Oryzias latipes: one gene and its partner. The protein of the gene in region 2 interacts with the protein of the main gene of each other region in a pairwise test. Links are inferred from orthologs where the notes say so. Each region holds a gene or a part of one and is shown on either strand. Other genes may lie near its edges.

Region 1 (3,331 bases), on a different chromosome or scaffold from region 2:
CGTGGGCCTTCAGGACCGGGGCGTGGGCCTTCAGGACCCGGGCGTGGGCCTTCAGGACCGGGGCGTGGGCCTTCAGGACCCGGGCGTGGGCCTTCAGGACGGGGGCGTGGGCCTTCAGGACCCGGGCCTTCAGGACCCGGGCGTGGGCCTTCAGGACCGGGGCGTGGGCCTTCAGGACCCGGGCGTGGGCCTTCAGGACCGGGGCGTGGGCCTTCAGGACCCGGGCGTGGGCCTTCAGGACGGGGGCGTGGGCCTTCAGGACCCGGGCGTGGGCCTTCAGGACCCGGACGTGGGCCTTCAGGACCCGGGCGTGGGCCTTCAGGACCCGGGCGTGGGCCTTCAGGACCCGGGCGTGGGCCTTCAGGACCCGGGCGTGGGCCTTCAGTGGTCCTTCAGGACCCGGGCGTGGTCCTTCAGGACCCGGGCGTGGGCCTTCAGGACCGGGGCGTGGGCCTTCAGGACCGGGGCGTGGGCCTTCAGGACCCGGGCGTGGGCCTTCAGCACCAGGATTGACCAGCCGTGGACTGGCAGGATTACAAACTCTTTATTTAATTGAATTTCCCCAATGTGGGATCAATAAAAAATTTCTTAACTTATTTAATTTTTCAGTCACGTTTTTCTTCATGCAGTTTCATCAGTTCACCACCAGAGGGCGAAGCAGATCCTGGAGATCTGGCTCCTCTGCAGTTCAGTCTTCTGATCTTCAGAGGTGTGAGGTCACATGACTTTACACCTTCTGAGCACGCTCATCCCCCTTCGTGTTCAGGTGCGCGGCGTCTGTCATGGCGGCGTTGTGGGGTCATCTTCAGCGTCAGACCGCATGCTCCTCATGAGAACCGGTCTGCAGAACCCTGGCTGCTGGTTCAGTGGAAGCGTTCCCTCCAGGTGTGTCTAAGTCAGCCTTGGTTAAAAGCTCCGCCCCTTAGGACTGGGCCCGCTCCAGTTTGGGCTCCAGCGGCGCCTGGATGGTTTCTCCAGACATGAAGGCCTCCTGTAACACAAACAACTTTAGTCTGGATCCTGAACGTTCCTCTGTGGACCCCCCCCCCCCCCCCCTCTGTGGATCCCCACCCCTCCCCCCACTGTGGACCTCTTCCCCTCTGTGGACCCCCTTCCCACTCTGGACCCCCCCCCCCTCCCTCCCCTGGGGGCGGGGTTACCTTGTCATAGATGACTTTGATGATGAGTGAGCAGCTGGGACACGTGGCCACCTCCTCTCCGTTCTCCAGATCCTCCTAAAATGCCAAAATCAGGTTCAGGTCTTCAGTGACGTCACAGCAGGAAAAGCAGCTCTAAGGGATTTAAGGTGGAATGTTCCCCTAAAGTGACGGTAACATCGTTTCAAAGGGACTTCTTTAAGTGTTCGAATCCCCTCCGTCTGACCACATGGAACAGCAGGAGCGCGTGCACATGTTCATGACGTCAGCAGCCCTCCGTCAGGACCCAGCCCTTCTATGCCCTCATCTTCCTCGCGCCCAGCTCACCTCCGTGATGACGAAGCGGTCCCCGCACGGACACGGGAAGTAGTACGCGCACGTGTCCTCGTCGTACTCGAAGTCCTCGAGCTCCACTTCATCGTGGAACGCGGACATTTTTCTGACGGCTCCGGGCCGGCGCTTCCTGATGACGTCACCGACGAGCGCCCCGTGAATACGGCCCGTGACGTGTTTGTTGTGATTAACGTTCAGTCCTAAATGTTCAGATTTCAGGTGTAAAGGAGCTGAAAATAATGAACGGAGTCCGTAAGTTTAATTGTAAACTCTTTATGTTTAAACTTCATTTGTTTTTCTGCAGCTTTTCATCTGTTTATTAGGAAAGTTCTGCCTTATTTAGTCTTTTTTTGTTTAAGTTCTGTTAGAAGTTCTTCTAAAATTAAAATAAATCTCCAGAATTTCTCATATCTGTGCTGGAATAAAAGGCTCCAGATAATTTAAGGATGAATCACTAAAACCAAAAGGAGCTAGAATGTTTGACCCTTACCGTTGGACATAGAAATGTATTTATTTAACCCTTATGTGGTGTTCGGGTCTGTGGGACCCGTTTTCATTTTTTATCAAAAGAAAAATGATACAATTAATTAATTTTTCAGACTCAAACTCACTGGCCTTGGCTCATTTTCTGTGAAGAACAGATATTTTTAATGACCACACACCGTATACCCCCCCAACACATTTCTATTACATATAAGATGTTCGGGTCCACTGGACCCGGGGCTAATAGAAGTGTGGAAATTTATGTTTTATGTACCTACACTCTGTCCTCCACCTGTCTGGGCCTGCTGTGTGTGTGTGGGTGTGTGGGTGTGTGTGTGTGTGTGTGTGTGACCAGTGAGAAAGAGAGAGAGAGAGAGGCAGAGAGAGAAAGATTCACTGTAAATGTGAGTTCTGTTTCTGCACCTGCGGTTCCTGCACAAGGTTACAACATTGTTAGAATAATTCAAGAATCAACTCTGTTTGCTCTCGTTCTCCCGCACATTTGACCATTCGACTTTCTTGCGGGAATCTTTAATATCTCGCTCTTTATCTGCTACAAATTGGAGGCGGGACACGTTAAACATAGCTTTGCCAGTGTGGTTTCTTATCACAACTGATCAAAATGGCCAAAAGGCTTTCTGCGCAGATGGAATTGATTTTAGAAGAGAGACGTTTTTGATGATGATGTAGAGGGAGACGATTCAGAAGAGGAGGTTTCAGAATTAGAGGATCACATTTCTGAAAATTCAGAGTCTGACAGTGACTCTGAAGAAGATGATTAGATTGGGGCGGCCGTGGTGCAGCGGTAGGGCGGTCAACCCATGATTGTAAGATTGCAGGTTCAATTCCCGCCTTGCACGCCCATGAGTCCTTGGGCAAGACACTGATCCCCACCTTGCCTCTGGTGGTAGGCGGGCCCCTGTGTTTGGCAGCGGAGCCGCCATCAGTGTCTGAATGTGTGAGTGAATGTGTGTGTGACTGTAAAGTGCTTTGTCCTTGTTGGAAGAAAGGTGCTATATAAGTATACGCCATTTACCATTTGCCATTTAGATTGAGCATCAGCACCCAGCCACAGGACCAGGCTGTCAGCAGCAGGACCATGTGTTGTACAGGCTAGTGGCTAGGAGGCCATGTGTTCAATGGGGCTGATGTGTTGTCTAGACTAATAGGTTTACTCTATGTGTTCAGCTTGTGTTGTGCACCTGAATGGGTTCAGTTTCTGTGTTCAAATAAATAAAGGCAGTAGTTTTGAAAACCATTGCTTCACTTGAAAATTTGTTTCCACTCATATCTTGCTTTTAATTGATTTTCTTTATCACGTTTTAAATAATGAGTTATGAATGTGATCTAACAAAGCT
Region 2 (4,553 bases):
AACAGCAGAGTGCCATTAATTACCAAAAAAACATTTAGTCGTCTACAAGTGGACGCACTTGTAGACGACTAAATCCATGTACAACTTTGTTTTCCTCGTCTGAGCTGTCATCTGTACAGTTGGATACCTCCAATATTGCTCGCCATTTTGGTTGCACCGCTAATGTTAGGGTGGGGTTGTGAGGGGCTGTAAGCGAGTAGGAGATAACGCAAACAAAGGCATGATGGGAAATGAGGGGAGACCTACTCCATGCCAACGGTCTCGCCCACAGCTCATCAGCGAATTTCTCATGAATTCCTGCCGCTCTGCAGAAACTATGTCCTGGAAAAGTCCAGTTTTGAAATGAAATCTAAAAATGACAAGAGTGGGACTTTAATGAGGGAGTCCCAACTTTAATTCTGCCTCGCTTCAGTCACTTTAGGAGAGATAAACTTTCAAGTGAGAACTTGCTTTGAAAAAGCACTTTGTGTTCAGTTGTGAATATTTCTTACCGGTTAGCAGAAGAGAGAAATCCCAACCACAGGCAACATCTGTGACTCTCTGATTAAAGATGGGGCAGATTTGAAAAGTTGCTATGTCAGCACAGTGACCAATTCCCAGCTGACCTTTGTGATTCTGCCCACAAACAAACACCTCTCCACCCTCTGTTCAACACAAAACAACAGAACAAATAGCTTCAATAAAACAAGCTGAATCATCAGAAGCAACCACAGTTAGAAATAAAAAGGTTCAACAATATTTATTAAGAGTTGGATCACAAAAAAACTTTACAAACATTAACATTTATACTTTTTTTTCTTCAAAAACTTGAGTTATTGATCTGTTTGGTCTAAAATACAGTTTTTCAAAATCAAGAACTCAATGTCTGTACAGGAAAGTTCCTCTGTAGATTTCCTGGTGTGTCGTGTTTTTATGGTGAAGCTGTACATTCGTCTCACTTACAGGTACAGCCTGTAAATAGGTAAATACGGTTTGATCAATTTTAGGTGGTTTTGTTCAGGTTGGTCATTTTTTCAGCCTTCACCGTAAACCGGAGCATCACAGCTTACTCTGGCATCTGTTTACAGCCCACAGGTACGTTTTGTCCCACGTTAAACATATGAGGGGAATAAATGCGTCTGACTTTTCAGCTTCAGGAAAATTGTTACTAGTGAAAAAAAATCAAACACACTATATAAATAAACACAGAAAATATAGATTTTGATCAATGGAGATACAAAAAAAAGGCACTAAAACAAACAAAAAACCTAATGTATTAATTACTGGGGTTGGTGTCATTTATAATGCATTCTACTGACTTCAATCATTGTTATAAAAAGCTTGACATTTTCCTATAGCTGTTTTTATATAATGTATTTTTCCAATTATTTTTATAGCTATAAATGTCTAGATTAATATAACTATCGCATAGCTTTTTTTAAAACTTTATTGAACATTATGCCATTTTACAAAAATTCACATTCAGGTACACAGCAAGAACACAATTGCAAATGTCAAAAACATAACTATATATATATATATATATATATATATATATATATATATATATATATATATATATATATATATATATATATATATATATATATATATATATATATAACAAGAATAGAAATAGAAATAAGCCAGGGGGTTAAACTTTGCAAGAAAAAAATTGCATCCTTCACATACAGACAAGGATTTGATTTCTTTTTGCTTCTCATTACGAATGCTATTTGTATACAGATTTAACTCAGAAAAGATTAGAATGAAACAAGGTTTTCTACCAGAGAATTTACATTTGTGAATATTAGGCCTACACAATATACCGCTAATTTATCGTTCTCGCAATTTCAAGCTGTGCAATATGCATATCGCAAAAGACAGCAAATTTGCAATAAATGGTTACCTTAGATGTGGCCAAACAATCTTATGGCAGCTTGCAGTGTTTAATGGATCGAAAGAATCCCTTTCTGCATTTGGCCTATCAGATGGAGCCCTTCACGTTGTTAACTAATCGGATGGCGCCCTATTATGTTGTATGTTCGCCTCCTGCGTCAACAAGGGTCATTTGTAGTATAATTTTTAAGCTGTTGTAATGGAATGGGAATAATATTTTTGGTTGTTTTGCTAATTGTTTATATACCGCAAATTATATCGTTATCGCAATATTAATTAATAATATCGCATATCTCGAGTTTTCTTCATAATCGTGCAGCCCTAGTGAATATGAAATTTGGACAAAAAAAGCTAGAGATTTAAAAGTAAACCTGAGTCCTTTTGTGTATTCTTTGATTAAAGACCCAACACGAAATCTTTCCTGAACTATGGTATACATTTCACAGACTAATGTAGTGTTTCTGTGTGTGTAGTTTTGTATTTTGGTTGTGTTTATTGTTTTGCGTGTGTTTTCTATATCATGTAGTCATAAAGTCTCTTTCTCTTTCGCCATATTTTCCATTAAATGCTCTTTAGATTTTCCCTTGTGGAATGTTTAAAGTATATCCTCTCAGATCTTAAATAGTTACGTTTGAATAACGATGGATGTGTGTCGAAACTCGGTTATTCCAGTACCAGTGATGACAGCGGTGTGTCCCCCGCCGCCCCTCACGACCCGGATCACTTTGGTTTGCAGCTCTGAGACTCCAGAGAGCCGAGGAACAAGCTGGTCCTCCGCATGTCCCTGTCCCAGCTGCCCGTAACTGTTGGCTCCCTGAAACAACACAAATCTACAGAGGTCAGATTCAGAAACACTCGTCTTAGTTAATTCGTTTTTTTTTGTAGCGTGCTGCTTTGTATAAACAACAGGGTAATTCGCTTTACGTCGCCAAAAGTGTTTGATTCATGTTCCACTTAAATATTAAAGTTAATCAGACACAGAGATGAAATTTGGACATGTTGACAACAACGATTTATCAGGTAAAAAACTTACCCAGGTGTGTAAACAAAATTCCAGCGAGCTACGTTCCATGGGACTTTTCTTCTTTTTCTTTGGTTCAATTGAGATTTTCAAGAAAGGACTTGGTGCATTACCGCCACCAAGTGGAGAGATATGTTTATTACAGTGACAAGCAGTGGAACTAATCTAACAAAACAAACAAAAAACCCGCACATATCAGCAAATAAAAGTTCTTTATGGAATTATATTGAGAAAATGTACACGAGTGAATATGTAATAGATTATTTTAAAATAATAAAATTACTATTCATGTCTCAGCCTATCGGAAAAGAAAAGTATGTTTTCTTTTATTAGTGAGGAGGGTTCCACTGAAAAAACAAGCAACAAAAAAACAAGTGTATGAAAAGCTATCGTTTGTGTGTTTTTAGTTGAAGCAGACTATGTTTTTCTAATGTGACTACTGTTGTTCATTTCATGCAGAAGTCGAAGGACTTCCAAAGTTTTCACCTACCTTTTCTTGCAAGTGTATAGGCCTATTATACTTGGTTAAAACTGGCTAAAAGAGGCGGCACGTTGATCTCTATAGCAAATCAAATTTATTTGAATTAAAAATTTCTATGACCAGACCTTTTTTTTTTAATTTATGTAAATCAATGTAAAGTACATTTTTGTATAAAAAAACTTTTTTTTCCCAAATGATTGAGAATTAAAAAAGTGTGAGAAACAGACTGTGAACAGACTTTATTAATAATAGTCTTTTTTTCATACATAATATAGAAGTATTTTCTACATTTCTTTACAGTAGAAAAATAACAATTTCAAATGCAGAGTGCAATAATATTAATAATTTCTTTAGGATCCATTAGAAACTAAATCAATTACTTAATGGGCCAGATCTGTCACAATCAGTCATGAAAGGTTTTCTCTTTATAGAAGTTAAAGGTTTTACTTTCATAAGTTCCTTAGACAGTACAAAGAAGAGCATAAAAGTATGTTCACCCAGATAAAACAATAACAAGGTACATGATATATGTATCACTTAAGTGAAGAAGAATACAAGTGAAGAAATCTTTAACCAGTAACAAAAAGTATCACAATGTCATACACAAGAGCAGCAGTGACAGCTTTGGGAAGTGTTTGTAACAGCTGGGGATTTGTAAAAGTGCAGTGAAGAACCATGAAAGCACATCAGTTGCATGATCAAGAACAATCCAAGTACAATGGAAGCTAAATCGTGTCTCAGATCAAGCAGCTCTTTGGGTTTGAAAGGCTCACTGACACAGAAGTCAACACACATCGAATGCATGTATATATATGTATATATAGTCATTCACACAACTTACATCGACAAAAGAATATTCAGCTTAAAAAAGCGATTGAGCTGACGGGGAACGATACACAAGCAACATCTCTACAACAGTGTTGGGGGGGACGCAGCGTGCACGGATGGGCTGTGGGAGGCTAGCTTCAGCTGAAGTGTGGGCAGTCAGACGCCCAGCTGCTTGTTGAGTCGACTCAAAGCATCACCCACGATGTCAAGCTCGTGTCGGAGCTCCTCCACCACGCTGTTGATGCTCAGAGTGTCTTTGAGCACATCCACACTCTGGGTGTAGGGGTTGTATCGAACTGTGAAGGGGCGCTTGATGGTCTTGGCGAACTCTCTGGAAAAAAAACC

Evidence for each region.
Region 1: the proteins of sergef (region 2) and DPH3 homolog interact in binary tests that used the Homo sapiens proteins (3 or more experiments, as listed by UniProt). The link is inferred for Oryzias latipes from reciprocal best matches to the Homo sapiens genes SERGEF and DPH3.

The regions. Positions count from the first base shown.
Region 1 is NC_019860.2:24,999,029-25,002,359, forward strand, and holds DPH3 homolog, read right to left. Parts: upstream 1,625-3,331; 5' UTR 1,593-1,624; coding exon 1,485-1,592; intron 1,236-1,484; coding exon 1,161-1,235; intron 992-1,160; coding exon 923-991; 3' UTR 574-922; downstream 1-573.
Region 2 is NC_019864.2:15,636,226-15,640,778, forward strand, and holds the start of sergef (secretion-regulating guanine nucleotide exchange factor), read right to left. Parts: upstream 3,016-4,553; 5' UTR 2,951-3,015; coding exon 2,912-2,950; intron 2,693-2,911; coding exon 2,554-2,692; intron 645-2,553; coding exon 492-644; intron 1-491. Other genes in the region: tph1 (tryptophan 5-hydroxylase 1), read right to left, coding at 4,365-4,539. UniProt on the Homo sapiens protein: Probable guanine nucleotide exchange factor (GEF), which may be involved in the secretion process.